Linked DNA regions of Astyanax mexicanus. The protein of the gene in region 2 interacts with the protein of the main gene of each other region in a biochemical or structural test. Links are inferred from orthologs where the notes say so. Each region holds a gene or a part of one and is shown on either strand. Other genes may lie near its edges. The genes, in order: btk and ibtk.

The links.
Region 1: the proteins of ibtk (region 2) and btk form a complex in vitro, tested with the Homo sapiens proteins (2 studies listed by BioGRID). The link is inferred for Astyanax mexicanus from reciprocal best matches to the Homo sapiens genes IBTK and BTK.

The regions. Positions count from the first base shown.
Region 1 is NC_064417.1:53,807,592-53,815,493, reverse strand, and holds the start of btk (tyrosine-protein kinase BTK), read right to left. Parts: upstream 3,191-7,902; 5' UTR 3,080-3,190; intron 1-3,079. Other genes in the region: cytochrome b-c1 complex subunit 8, read right to left, coding at 4,879-4,973, 6,659-6,812. UniProt on the Homo sapiens protein: Non-receptor tyrosine kinase indispensable for B lymphocyte development, differentiation and signaling. Binding of antigen to the B-cell antigen receptor (BCR) triggers signaling that ultimately leads to B-cell activation.
Region 2 is NC_064413.1:27,035,619-27,043,504, reverse strand, and holds the start of ibtk (inhibitor of Bruton tyrosine kinase), read right to left. Parts: upstream 3,209-7,886; 5' UTR 2,826-3,208; intron 326-2,825; 5' UTR 1-325. Other genes in the region: tpbgb (trophoblast glycoprotein b), read left to right, coding at 7,191-7,886. UniProt on the Homo sapiens protein: Acts as an inhibitor of BTK tyrosine kinase activity, thereby playing a role in B-cell development. Down-regulates BTK kinase activity, leading to interference with BTK-mediated calcium mobilization and NF-kappa-B-driven transcription.

The DNA.
Region 1 (7,902 bases), on a different chromosome or scaffold from region 2:
TTTGAGCATTTACACTTAGTGGTGTACTCACTTTTGTTAAAGCGGTTTAGACATTAATGTCTAATGTTTGTGTGTTGAGTTATTTTGAGGGAACAGTAAATGTACACTGTTATACTGTAGCTGTTCACTGACTACTCTACACTGTATTAAAGTCTCATATCTTTAGTGTTTCCTATGAAAAGATATAATAACATATTTACAAAAATGTGAGGGGTGTACTTCCTTTTCTGAGATACTGTATAAACACATTTCCTTTTTGTTTTGTTAAATATGGTTGTCTTGTCTTGTTATGTTGTATGTTGAGGCACAAATAAAGCGTTTAAAGCTGTTTACTGTATAACTCTCACAGCCTGACTCTCTGTTTTACACTGCTCTGTAAACAGTGTAGTGTTTATTCATCATTTAGTGTTTTTTTGTATATGCACAGGTTTTTAATGAAAACCAGCAATTACTATATATCTAGGAGTGTGCTTATGTATATACAGCTCTGGAAAAAAATAAGAGACCACTTCAGTTTCTGAATCAGTTCATATTCATAAAGTTTAAATAGTTGGTTGGTTTTTAATCACAGTTTTTGTTTTCATGCATCTTGGCATCATGTTCTCCTCCACCAGTCTTACACACTGCTTTTGGATAACTTTATGCTGCTTTACTCCTGGTGTAAAAATTCAAGCAGTTCAGTTTGGTGGTTTGATGGTTTGTGATCATCCGTCTTCCTCTTGATTATATTCCAGAGGTTTTCAATTTGGTAAAATCAAAGAAACTAATAATTTTAAGTGCTTTCTTATTTTTTTCCAGAGCTGTATAATCTTATTATGAAAATTTTATTATTCTATTTTGCTCTCTTAATTTTCTTAAAAGAAAATTAAATAAGCCATAGTCTGAACAGTTTATAATATATATATTGATTATATTGCACAACCAGTCCCCATCTGCCTGAATGGTTAAGCCACAGTGCAGTATATTATTCTTGTTATATAGCTAAGAGGTTTGTAAAGTAGAATGTATATATAATAATTCATTTATTCAGAAGGAATAATGATAAAATCAGTAAATCGAATAAATAAAATGTGTTTGTAAAGCTTTTTTAAATAATGATAAAACAGCACGCAAAAAATAAAACCTATTTAATAATAATAATAAATTATTTATTCATTTAAATAATAAAAAAATATAGTAGCCATACATTACTGGAGAAGGTCTAATACTAATGCTAAATATCTTCAGCTTGTCAGCTTTTTGTTTTGTTATTGTATATACACAAGTTTTTATACAATTTTAAAAACTGCAAATACTGCATATCTAGGAGTGTATGTAGAGTACTTTAATTCTCTGAATATATTGTTTGTTTGATTATATTTTATGCTCTTTAAACTTTTTTAAAGCAAACATATTTTGAATAATTTTAAATACTGATATTGCACCACTAGGTCTTAAAAATGAACCTGCTAACCCCATCATACCTCCCCCCATTATATTATGCAACAGTGTGTTGAGTAAATATTGGTCATTATATAGTTACTCTCACAGCCTGATATTCTGTTTTATGCTGTTCTGTGCCATAAACACAGTGTAGAGTGTTTCGGTGTTCATTTTATTTATTCTCATTGCATGTGCACAGTTTTCATTTTTTAATGAAAACTGCAAATATTGTATATCTAGTATGTATGTAGATTACTTTATTACTCTGAATATATTGTTTGTTTGATTATATTTCCTGCTCTTTAAGTTTTAAGTGTACGTAGGATAATTAATAACTCTTGAATATTTTGTTTGTTTGATTTCTTGCTCTTTAAATTTTCCCAACAAAAACTAAAACAAACACATTCTAAACATCTTTAAATACTGATATTGCACCAACAGGTCTCAAAAATGAACCCCTTTAACCTCGTCATACCTCCCTCCATTATATTATATATTTAACAGTATACTAAGTAAATATCAGTCATTATACAGTTATTCCCACAGCCTCATATTCTGTTTTACGCTGCTCTGTGCAATAAAGACAGTGTAGAGTGTTTATTTGTAAATTATATGTATTTTATTATGAAAACTGCAAATACTGCATACCTAGTATGTATGTAGAGTACTTTATTACTCTAAATATATTTTTTTATTAATTATATTTTCTGCTGTTTAAATTTTCCCAACTAAAAAACTAAAACAAACATATTCTAAACATTTTTAAATACTAATATTGCACATATTGCACTAACAGGTCTCAAAAATTAACCCCCTAACCTTGTCATTCCTCCCTCCATTATATTATATATTTAACAGTGTACTGAGTAAATATCAGTCATTATACAGTTATTCTCACAGCCTGATATTCTGTTTTACGCTGCCCTGTTCCATAAACACAGTGTAGAGTGTTTATTTGTTAGTTGTATGTATTTTTATTGCATATGCACAGAAATTGAATAAAAACTGCAAAAATTACTGTGTATATATGAGTGTACGTAGAGTGATTAATAACTCTAGAATATTGTTTGTTTGATTATACTGCAATTACTGTATATCTAGGAGTGTATGTAGAGTACTTTATTACTCTGAATATATTGTTTGATTAATTATATTTTCTGCCCATTACATTTTCCCAACAAAAAAAACTAAAACAGACATATTCTAAACATCTTTAAATACTGATATTGCACATATTGCACCAACCGGTCTCAAAAATGAACCCTCAAACCTTGTCATACCTCCCTTCATTATATATAATACATTATATTATTATGTACAGTGTACTGAGGAAATAAAATATATTATACAGTTATTCCCACAGCCTGATATTTTGTTTTATGCTGCTCTGTACAATAAACACAGTGTATAGTGTTCATTTGTTAATTGTATGTATTTTTATTGCATATGCACAGATTTTTTTATGAAAATTGCAATTACTGTATATCTAGGAGTGTTTTTTTTTATATTATTATATTTTTGTATTGATTATATGTGCTGATCTCAGATTTGTCCCAATAGAAATCTAAAAAATACATATTTTAAACATTTTAAATACTGATATTGCACCACCAGATCTCAAATATGACCCCCACCCCCATACCCAGTCAGTGCTTACCTGACTCCCAGATCCTCTCTGACCCGTTAACCCAGTCTGATGCCCGGTCTCTGAGCTGGCACTCACTGGTTTCCGTGTGTTACTGGTGCTGAGTGAGGGTGAATACGAGCTGCAGTTGAGTTAAACCCCACCCTTTCACAGGACTTTTCATCAGTTCCCCTTTTGCTTCCTGCTCATTTTCATATAACGCTCTGTTATACACTGTTAAAATACTTTAGCACCTCCACTAGCCTGCAGAGCGACAGCACTACAGCTGAGAAAAAAAAATACAAAGTTATCCAAAAGCAGTGTGTAAGACTGGTGGAGGAGAACATGATGCCAAGATGCATAAAAACGGATTAAAAACCAGGGTTATTTAACCAATTATTGATTATTTTTGAACTCCTAAACCTTTATGAATATGAACTTGTTTTCTTTGCATTATTTGAGGTCTGAAAGCTCTGCATATTTTTTGTTATTTTAGCCGTTTCTCTAAGTACTCTAAGTGACAATATTTTTATTTGAAATTCGGGAGAAATGTTGTCTGTAGTTTATAGAATAAAACAACAATGTCCATTTTACTCAAACATAAACCTATAAATAGCCAAGCGTACACCCAGATTTGTTTGAATAATTAAATAAAATAACATTGCTGTTCCCGTAAATGAGCTGCTGGAGCTCCTTCACAGCGTCAACCAGCAGCTCAGTTTCCTCTGCTGAGAAGAGTTTGTTGAACACGTCCAGGTAGCTGCACCGTTACAATAGCAATCCACCAAAGTCAGAGCACACCTGATCTACTCTTAAAGAGAATGATGAGAAAGAGACACTCTGGTTTATGTCATGTAACGCCCAAAATTAACCACACACATGATTAATTAATAAAATTAGTACATGATATATGTTTATACTTCTCATTCAATCACAATCAGATTCACACTATAGGGGTTTTATTAAATGACGAGAAGCTGGCATGAAAACAAGCTGAAATGAAACAGGAATAATGAGGCTATTTTTAAAATGTAAGGAGTAAAAAAGGACATAATTGTGTGAAAATATATGATTACTTTAGTAAAGTATAGATAACCAACATTCCTACTTAAGTAAGACAATTAAGTATTTGTACATAAGTTAACACCTCAAACCTAATTTACAATTACCTACACTTCCTAACTAGGCAGATTGATCCTTCCTGCAGCGTTCATGCACTTTTTAACCAATACATTTCCATTATATTTTTCATGACTATTTCATGCTTTCAAGGCAAATTTTTTATGACCATACAATTTTTAAATCATCAGTGCAGACATTGGTAATAAAACTAAAAATCAACTAAAACTATAATCAAAATTGATTATAGCAGGTCTAAAATAGATCAGATAAAATGTTGACCCTAACCCTTTAACAACCTTTAATGATAAAATGTTTATTACATCCTGAGAGCTTCATTGTGTAGAGCTAAATTACTCAATTAACCCTCTTTTCCTTCTTCCCCTTCTTCACTCCTCTACCCCATTATTTCCCCTATGACCTCCTTTAAGCCCTACCTAAAAGATGTTTTACTTTTAACTTCTATTACTTTTGTACGTCTCTATTGTAAGTCGCTTTGGACAAAAGCGTCTGCCAAATGTAATGTAATGTAATGTAATGTAACTCTGAGCTGATGTAATTGTAGTTCTAGTCAAATAGTCAAAATTTTCTCAAAATCTCACTTTTCATAACAAATATAAACCTACTACAAAATGAAGACATGAGAATATCTTTATAGATCATTTAATAATATAATAAACATTAAACATGGACAAAAGGGACAGTGATAGGATTTAATTTTCATGCTCGTGGTCGGCGAGGTTCTTCCTCTTGCCCTGCTCGTGGACGTGATTGCCCCAAGTGTAGGTCAGGTACATCAGAACCATGGCTGTGAAAGAGAGTAAAGGAAATATTAAATCACCCAAACATAATCAATACAGTTCCTACACTTAAATAAATACCAAAACTGTTATTTAAAATGAAAAAGAAAAAAAGTAACGTGTGTGTGTGTGTGTGTTTATGAGTAAAAAACTGTATGTTGCTATTGTATATTTTAATGGGGAAATGCACAGATGTATTATTTATAATATTTTTTAACCAGTAATTAAGAGTATCTCGATTACAAATAAAGTATTGAGGCATTTTCTTTGAATCAAGGAATAAATAATAAAGCTTAAACAACATTGTATTTTACCCTGACTACTTTGAAAGTGGCACAACGCATTTACCTCACCCACAAAAAGAGAAAAGAGAAAAAGAGCATGACCCGAGACAACGCAAGATTAACCAAGCGGAAATCAATGAGATTAACCTTTAATTAAGTGTCCTTAATGTCCTTTACTTGTCTGCTGACATAACAAGAGCCCTGCGGAGGTCTACGTTTCTGTTTCACTGCTGTTGAATGTGTGGGCAGTTTATTATAATGGTCATAAGCATGCCCTTAAGGTTACTCTAGACTTCATAAATGGTTTGTTTATTTATTACTATATATATCAGTAAAAATACAGAGCTGTTATATTAATAAGCTAAAAAATAAAGGTAAACGTAGGCAATGTTTATTTATTTATTTATTAATGCCTTTTTTATATTTACAAGAAACACTAAGTTAAGCATATTTTAAATTGTATTTATTTTTATTTGTGTTAACAATTGGAAACGTTCCTAGACAAGTGCTAAGCACAATGTGAATTTAAGAAAGAAAAATGTAAATCCAAAAAAAACAATTGGTTGTTTATTATTAAGTGATTTTATTAAGTGGTTTATTATTAAGTTTTCTATTGTGTATTTATAATTGCCCTTTAAGCAGGCAAAAAAAGCCCTAATGTAAAGTGATAGAGATAAACTAGGGTTAATTATTGATTATTTTCATTCTGAATCACTCAATATTAAATTGGTAATTAACAGATAAGCTTAATGAGGGGTGGTACAGCAAAGATAAAACTTAAACTCAGTCCGACAAAAAGAAAAATTACACAAGATACGACTGCCTCATCTGCCACTTCCTGCACGTTCCTGCATAAACACATTTTGCAAAGATCATAACATTTTTACACTAAAATATTCCAAAAAAAGAATAGATCATAAACTGCATTAAATTAATGGTGGTTAAATAGGACACTAAAAGGTTTCCACTATATTACAGATTTCATCTTAACAGTATGATTGGTTGTTCACTGATACTAAATGATACTGAAAGCTATACTAACCTTTCCACACAGTATTTGGGACTTTTATTATGAAAACAAAACGAAAATTTAGAGATAATTGCCAATGCAGGCAATGCCAGCTGTTCTTTAGACAAATAACAGTTGATGTTTATTATCAGAATGATGTTACTGTGCTGGTTAGATATGTTAAATTCTGCTTTTAAGAATTTTGTGTACTTAAGAGGCTGATGTGGCAAAACAGTTTAAAAAACTGATTTAACTTAACTAGAACATTGTGGAGCAGGCACATAGAGACATGTCTCTACTCTATTAAATCCTGTTTCTAATGCATGTCCCTCACACAGAAATGCCCTTATACATTTCTGTTAAATCTGTACACAGATTTGATGGTGCTGAAGGAACTTACGTGGTGCAACCTTGAAGACGGATGCTCTGAATCGTCTCCAAACGTTGGGAATTCCCTTTGAAAAGTAGTTGGCGAAAGCTCTCTGCTCAAACGGAGAGATGCTGTAGGTGATTATGTGCCGGACCTTGGCCAAATCTCCAAAGTGGCGTCCCATCGTGTCCAGAGACCTGGTTTGAAGACAACACAGATCCTTAATTAGCTTAGTTGATGATGGAAAAACAACCTTCACTTAACATATTCTTGTGAGGGTCACTTAAGTGTAAAATTTGACAATGAATCTGCATTCATTCAAAGTTTATAGATTTGAAATAGCTGGGGATCTGAGTCTACAATTATAATAGCGCTCTTAGGAGAAGGGAGCTCCCCACAAACAATTAATTTAATAACAATAATAATAATTATATAATTATGTCACTTTCTACACTGCCGTATAACAGTACAGGCTATACGAAAGTAGAAGGGAATTTAAAAAAGACATACATAATTAATATAAGTCAAGATTAAAATAAAGGTGTAAAATCGAAAACAAAAAACTAATTCCTACATCCGAAATAAATGTAAAAATGTATGTTCATTCAACATTCAGTAAACTTCAGTTCTTCTGGGTGTTTTATTAAATAAAATCTACAAATAGGCTCTCTGTGGTGTCTGTCCTGCTAGTTATGATAAGTAAAGACATTTAGTACAGCCTGTTCTATTGTCAAACATAATGTCTTACAACACTACAGACAAAAATAATAAAATAATCTTTAAAAAATTGACTTTTTTTCTCATAAATCACCATCTAACAATGCTCAGCAAATCAGATCATCTGATTGTACCCCTTTAGGATAACGGTCTATATCAAGAGCATGATTATGCTAATATATTATTCCTAATCAAAATACAATCTAATTTAAAGTATTTAGGTAAGTTTACTGCTTATTAATGAAGGTTACAGGTTATAGATGTTGCATTTATGTTGTAGTAGTCTTATGATTGATTTTTGTTTTTAAGTAAATTAAATAGCTAATTAGTTTAATGTAGTATATTATAGTGAAATTGGGGACAAGACAATGGTGGAGATTAGTTAAGTGAAGGAATCTAGTATTAGAAAGCCATTAAAATGACCTAAATCACATTTAATGTTGATTAGCAATATTAATTAGCTTAATAACACTCCTGATACAGATCATTACCCTAAAATCAAATGATCTGATCAGTTCAGGGTGTGGGAGATTTTTACCACATGTGGCCATTCGGCC
Region 2 (7,886 bases):
TAGCAACCCTAGGGTGAATATCCACCTCACCTCAGTCCACCATATTAACAAAAACCCACACTACCCAGTGCAGAAAAAAAACAATCAATGGCATCAAAAAAGGATAAATATTTGGCTATTTTTTATGTACAAAAGTTTTATAAATATATTCTCAGTTATTCAAAAATACTTGTTTCACTTGTAGTCTAGTTTAGATCATTGTGCAAAAGGCAACAAACTCTTCAACCACCCAAAAAGTCCATCAAAACAGTCCATCCAGTTTGAGGGGAAAGACTCCTTCCCCCCAACACTAATCTTTTTAAGCCTCCATAATTGTAAACGGTACCTGTGCAGAAAATAACAATCATCAGATTAATTCACAAGTTAAAAAGATGCATGCTGTATTTTCCAAGAATTGTTCACAAAGTTTTTTTTTATGTTTTATGGGTTAGAATAATGTGTTGTGGGTTTGTCATTTTGTGCATAGTAGGGGTGTCACGATTCTCTAAATCCTCGATTCGATTTCATTTTCGATTTGAGGGTCACGATTCGATTCGATTCTCGATTTTCTTGTTTTTTTTTCTTGTTATTATTTTATGCCTCATAAAATTTAAATAATATATTTATTATTATTATTATTATTATTATAAATATTATAAATATTATTATTATTATTTATTAAGATATATATGGTAATGCCATCTAGTGACTTTTTTTGGTAGCAACAGTGTGCACTATTAAAATAAGCAGTTTATCAGAGCTGTGTGTGGATGGCTGGTGAAACTGCTCATTACATGAAGCTGCAGTTCTTCATCCAACCACTAGCAGCAGCAGCACAAGCCCCGCTCTTTTCACTCAGTCACTACTTCAGTACAGCCCAGCCACGGGCTACAGAGCTCAGCCAGTCCGTTTTTACTGTTTCTGTAAACAAATAAAGGTTTTAACCCCACTAACCGGATAATACAGCTCACTACAGTTCATCTTTCAGCCCAAGCAGCTAACAGCAGCAGGTTAGAACAGCCGACACGGAGGCACTGCTCGGAATACATTATAAACAGGTCAGTTAGCGCGCTGCTAACCTCAGGATGTTTATAACTACGGAGTTTAGTGGACACACCACGCCGCCAGGTAAGTCTTTTAAAGGCTACTGAAGACTATTAAAGGCTATTAGAGTGTAACCCCTGGCTCCCAGGGGTTACAAGAGGTTATTGAAAGCATTATTGGGGGGCAGAAATCAGTACAGGCTGGTTAGATAAGTGATGTGGGTATTGTCTTATAAATATTTACACATAACTTATATCTCTCCTGAAAAGCTTTTATTTTAGTCAGAAACACGCTTGTGTTTACTTTATCTGAGAGAAAGATGTTTTTTTAATTCAATGGAAAGCAACAGGTGTAGTCAATTATAAGTTTAAGATTTTTAATCCACCTCACTGTGATCTATAGTCAGTGTTCTCAAGTCACACTGACACACGCATTTCAGCGAGTTCACACGCTCTCACCTGCGCGCACCCACCCCTCCGTTAGATACAGATACAAAACCTGCGCGCCCAACCCCCGCCCCCCCCCTCCCCCGTTGGACAGATAAAAACAGTGATCACACTCCCGCCGACTGCGCTTATGCAGTGGCTATCTCTATTTAAATGAATAGGATGCGCTGTGTTGGTGCCGCGCCATTTGCGTAGCGCGCTGCGCTATTTGCGTAGCGCGCGCGGGAGGGATCGTCGATCCTCTTTTTGACTTCGATACTCGAGATCGTGACCTCATTTCGATTCGATTTCGATAAAATATCGAGATCGTGACACCCCTAGTGCATAGTAAACTTTGTTAATAAACTTTACCTATGTTTCTAAGTATTTCATCTGTAAATACACCAACAAAAATATTTATATTTTTTCCATTACTCTGCTAAAAACAGTACCAGTACAATTTTACAAATTTTCAAGTAATGTGTAATGTTTTTGTTAGTTTTTTGTTTTGTTTTTTTACTTTATTTTTCCGATCATTTCAATTTCGGGAGATTAATCTTCAGGGCAATTCCATTCAAACTGGCAAATTGATTCACTAGATTACCTGTATGGATCAAATTTAACGCTTCACATTTCTACAAATCTACAAGGCATTTGAGTAGTTGTATGAAGTGGTTTGTGTGGATGTGTCAGAACGGTGGTGAGACAGTGAATAATGCTCCATGCAATCATATCTATGGCGCCACATATATACATAATGTCTGTAGAGCACAGACATAATACATCAGTAATTTTTGCACACATAATTATAGCTTCAGCAACAAAACAAATCCCTCATCTTCTCAAGTTAAGGAAGAATATTGTGAATAAAAAAATGTTTTTTTTTATGAGTTAAGAGTGTCTCTTGACATGTAGGCTGTGGATTTCAGAGTCAAAATGTTCCTCCAAAAGTAGCTACAGGACTTGTCACACAACACTGTTGTGTTAGCTTTAGCTATAGCTTTGAACAGAGCTGTTTATGTTACAAACTTAGCTAATGTTGGGTAACTTGAAGAGCTAGTTATCAAACTGACATTAACCTGCTAGCTAGCGGGCTAACTGTTTTGCAACACAGAGGTGTGCATGCACTGATATATACAAACAATTATAACTACATATTCTTAAATAAAACGGGCCTAACTACTCTTGCTAAGGGCTGCATATAAGGCATGAATAGTTAGTAGCTAGTTAGGGGAATACTTTACAAAGTTAAGAGAAGAAAGCTAAGCTAGGCTAACTAGCTGACGTTAGCTTAGCATATTTGGGATGACATCACCAGTTAAACAGGCTGTAAACCCTCACAGCAGCCCGGCCCAGAGCTCCCGCTCTGTCACCCACCTGCCGTTAGATGAAGGAGAAACTGGGGTTTGAGTCGGAGTCAGTGTAGCAAATCCACAGACACATCTTCAGAGGAATGTTTTAGCTTTTATAAATGATCTGTAGCGCTGCAGACCGGACAGGTTACAGACCGAGAGAGCAGTAAGGAGCGCTGGGATTGGCTCCGGGGATCCTGTATCCTCCGCCTCTATTGGACTCTGCCTCTCTGACTGCTGTGGGGATGTGGCTCATAAAGTCCAGAGCTTTAAAGCTGTCTAGATTATAAACATAACAAGTAGCCTAGTTTCTCATTCAGCAATCTAAAAAATGTCTATTTTAATATGAGCGACTTCTGCACTCAGTGTGCCCATGGCTGGAAGTCGATAGGTTTAGAGGAGCCCTGTGCTGCAACTTCTCCTCCCATATGTGGGGCACTGATAGCACGAGGGTGTCCCCCCGCCTGCGTCACCGGCTGGACAGAATCGTTGACCGAGAGCTGTAACCTACAGGTTTCCATCACTGGACATTTACCACAGTGTCTTTTTCGAAATATAAGCATTCATAAAAAATATGATGTAAAAAAGGGTTATTTTTTATTTGTGCGACAGTTTATTTGTGCTTTAACATTTTAATTCACTAACTTCTGTTAAGCCTAAGTAGTGGGCGGGGCTAGGAACTGCGTTGAGAGCAGCGGGGAGCAGAGAGAGAGAGACCTAGCATTCAGATGGGAGCTCTTGATAAAAACGTCGACCAGGTAAAGAAATTGATCAGATTTTGTGGTTGATTATATAAAAATATACGAAATTGTATTTTGGGGTGTTTTAGAGAGAAAAAAATGTTTACTACAGTACAAGCAGATATAGCATGTTTTACAAATAAATCTACCTCTCAGTTATGTTAGTTTAGTTGCCAGGGCCTCATATATGCTAACAACATAATGTAAAAAATAAAATTGTATTTTAGGTATTTTAGGATGTTTTAGGTAGAAAAATAGGATGTGCTTTAAATATAATAAAAACAAGGGAATAAACTAACAAGGGAATAGTGTCGGACCCTGAAATAGTTATTTACTTAAGTCACTTTTGTAAGTAAAATTAGGTGTTGAACAACCTGTTAAGAATACACCAGAATGCAGAAAATGGCATCTAATTCATAAGCACTTTATGGGGAAGGATCCAAAGACCATACATCCCCACCCCCCATTAAAAATGCTTCTGAAACCCCTGGGTCCCAGGTAATAAGGCCTTTATGGGTAGCCCAACTGGAAATCAAAAAGGTTTGTCCATGGGTTCCACATATGAATGTCAGTGATGGACCCCATCAAGTCTGTAATGAGACCAGGAGGTGTTAAACATGGGCCCCATCTGGGTTATTCACTGCACATGAGGCCTAAATTGGACTAACATGAGAATGAGGTTGGCTGTAATCATATGCTCAAAGACAAACACATGTAAAACATACTCAGAGCTTATACCAACCTGAAGAGGTCACAATGCCCAATTTAAAATTCCCAATTTAACCTTTGGTGTCAGACGGAATGTTGGATAAGTGGTCGTTGTCATCTTTAGGACAATTAGTCAATGAGTCAGTGTTTTATACAAAAATGTAGACCTAGTCCTGGCCTACACAGTATTCTGATTCTGACTCTACATTGAAAGTACCATCACTAAGGTTAATGTTTGTCTGGGATTTTTTTTTACCACTTTAAACTTTCTGGATAATATGCATAAATAAAAGTGTCCTTCAGTTATGTCACTAATAGCACTGCTTTGTGGCTTATGTAATTCAGACTACTATCTGGGTGCAAACTGAGCACTCTCTCGGTCAGCTGTTGTGGGTAGTGATATGCTGCAGGAGTGACCTTACTCCAGTACTCAGGGACTCAGGTTGGCCAACTGAACCAGAATTAGAACAGCAGGAGTAGTGCAGGAGTGTGGGGTTGCAGGACATGATTCACAAGCCAGAAAACGGATATTCAGATATTTGGCACCCCAAGTAAAAACATAGCCACTACTGATATCTAAATATATTCTCCTCAATTATAAATATCACTTGTAAATCCTAAAATACTCTCTTTAAAAAAGGTCACTAACCCAGCAGCAGGACCAGTATCTGCTCCTTTGGATTGCACAAGGAGGGTTGTACAATCCTACTGTTGGGTACCAATATGAAATCCATAGAGCCACTGTCTGACTGTTGGCCCCAAATTCATCCTGGTGCAGGACAATGCTCGGCCTCATGTGATCAGAGTGTGTTTAGATCAGAGCAGTTTAATTTGATTTTTAATAGAAATTTGAATCCATGTTTGAGCAATAAATAATATTTAATTGCAATTACATATTATTAATGAATTTAAAGTAGGATATCGTTTTTGGTCTGGAAATGAAACCTGTTCTCTCTTTTGTGATTTAAAGTTTAAAGGAATATTTTTCTTTCTCCTGTAAAGTGGCCAAATTTGGAGATTTTATTCCATCAGCACCAGTATAGTACTGTCTTATTGTCCTTTTAAATCACAATGTATGTTTACTTTTGCTTAGGTACAATGCTTATTAATACCCAAAAAATGTTCTACAAACTTTACATTGTTTTATGTCCACCCAAAAAAAAAAGGATCTGTGAATTTAAGCATTTCAATGTCTGTTTTACTTTTGTTGAAAGTATTAGAAACATTGTTTCATCTGAAACCAAGAGGATGCCATCAGCCCAGTGAACACAGTTCCACTGCCCCACTTCTACTCCACCTGTAGCCCATGTCAGGCATTAGGCATGGCACCAATTGGTTCATGCTTATCTTTTCCAGAGAATCCATTTCTATTGGCAATACTTCTCTACAGGGACTAGACATGTGTGTGCTATTGCACCTCTTTTTTTTTTTTTAGCAATAAGTGAAACTTAGGTAGCTGAATGCATTAACTAAAATATTGTAGATGTTTTTTTCTCATTATTACATAAACTGCTATCTCATTATTTTGAGATATTAAGTTGTTATTTTGAACAAATTAAAGTTTTTACTGACTTCAGAATAATGACTCAACTTAATAAGGTAACATCTAAAAATAATGAGACAACTTCTCAAAATAATGAAATGACCAAATTGATGATATATTAGGTATCTCAAAATTAAATGGCATCTCAAAATAAAAGATAACATCTCAAAATGTGATAGTATCGCAACATAATGAGATAGCATCTTAGAATAATGAGATTACATCTCAAAACAATGAACTAGTATCCTAAAATAACGAGAAAACCCCTCAGAATAATGTGAGAGTATCTTAAAATTAATGGAAAACATCTCTAAATTAAGATGTACCTAAAATAATGATATAATATCTTAAACTATTGGGACAGTATCTTAAAATTACTATATAACATCAAAATAATGACTTAGTATCTCAAAATGATGTCTCATTTTTATTTTTAGGAGGCAGGAATGGGCTTTAAAAAGATTAAAATGTATTGTTGTGGCAAATGTGTATCTATTTAGTCAGCTAGAAAAACTTAGACAGTAAAATTAGATAGGCCCATGTATTTTTTCCTGGGAACATTCCAAATAGTATTACAGGGGTATTCCATCGCGTTTGTTTCCGTACAGTGTAAAAGTAGATTAATAATGATTTTGAATATTGTCTTTGATGTACACAGAGTGTAAATAGCTAAAAAAAATCGAAGGTTGGGTCGTGAACCAGATAGACCACGCTGTCGTGCGGGTAATGTTGGGTGTGTTAAGTGTGGTGTGTGTGTGGTGAGTCTCGCGGGCTCCCCCGTCCGCTGCTGTAATGGTTGAGTCCACTCAGCGGTCTGTGGACAGGCTGTAGGGAACGGGCGAGGAGGAGGAATCCAACTCGGCGGAGTCCGGGTGCTGCGCTCAAAACCAGTGTCATGAAAATCCGAAAAGATTACAGAATCCACAAGGGAAAGGGAAAAGTTGGATGGTTCTGGATGTATATCAGCGCGACCAAACGGTTAAAACCTGAACAGTTCACCCAGAGGAGGTAATTTCTGTTGTTTTGGAGGGACTGCGGGGAGGTATCTAAGTAGACTGGAGCAGATTTAACTTTTGCCTGAAGTGATGAAGGAGAAGCAGCACCGCCAGCTCAACTACCAGCTCTAAAACTCAACAAAGAAGAGGAATAATGAAGACTGTGTGAGTCTGAGACCTTTTAAACTGCTGGATTCCATGTTAGCTTGTGTTTTTTGCCTCAACCCCGTTACTACGTAAGTCAGAAGTCCAGAGGGAGGAATGGGAGGAATGTGACTGTACTCCAGGAATTTGAAATAAACACTGAGCCTCTGTAGCAGACCTGTCTTCGTTTTTCTACTTAGACAATTGTGTTACACTCTTTCTGGGATTCAGTCACCTTCATTTGTCATTTAAATGCAAACATGTTGGTAGTGAAAGAGAAACATGCTCACCACCGCCTCCTGACTCTCTGCCTGCTGCTTGTTCTGTCATTCTTTGTCCCAGTCTCTTCTCTGGACTGTCCTGATAAATGTATTTGCACATCAACAACGGTAAAATGCCTTTACCAGAACTTAATATCCATTCCACAGCCTCTACCACCAAACACAACAGCACTTTTCCTCAATGGAAACAACATTACCCATCTAACTGAGGACTCATTCCCTGCTCCTCTAGAGTTTTTGACAGACCTCTATCTGTCTGGAAACCAAATAGAGCAAGTGGACCCTGGAGTGTTTGACAACTTGCCCAGTCTCCATTCACTAGACCTGAGCAACAACAGGATGCTGAATTTCAGCCCTGATGCTTTCCCAGAGAACAATAAGCTTAAGGTCTTAAACCTCAGTCGCTCTTTGTACAACGTTTCGTACACGGGCATAATTTCCAACATTTTAAAGCACAGTGTTCCTAAACTTTCCCTTCTTAACCTGTCCAGCAGTGACCTGATCCTGCTTCCAGATACCATTACCAGTTTACCTGACCTAAGCACTTTGGACTTGAGGAACAATTCAATAATCTCAATAAAAAATGTCACTTTCAGAAGTCAAGGGTTAAACCATCTTGACCTGCGGGACAACATTCTGAAGAAGATACCCAATGGGACTTTGGCCGATTTCAGC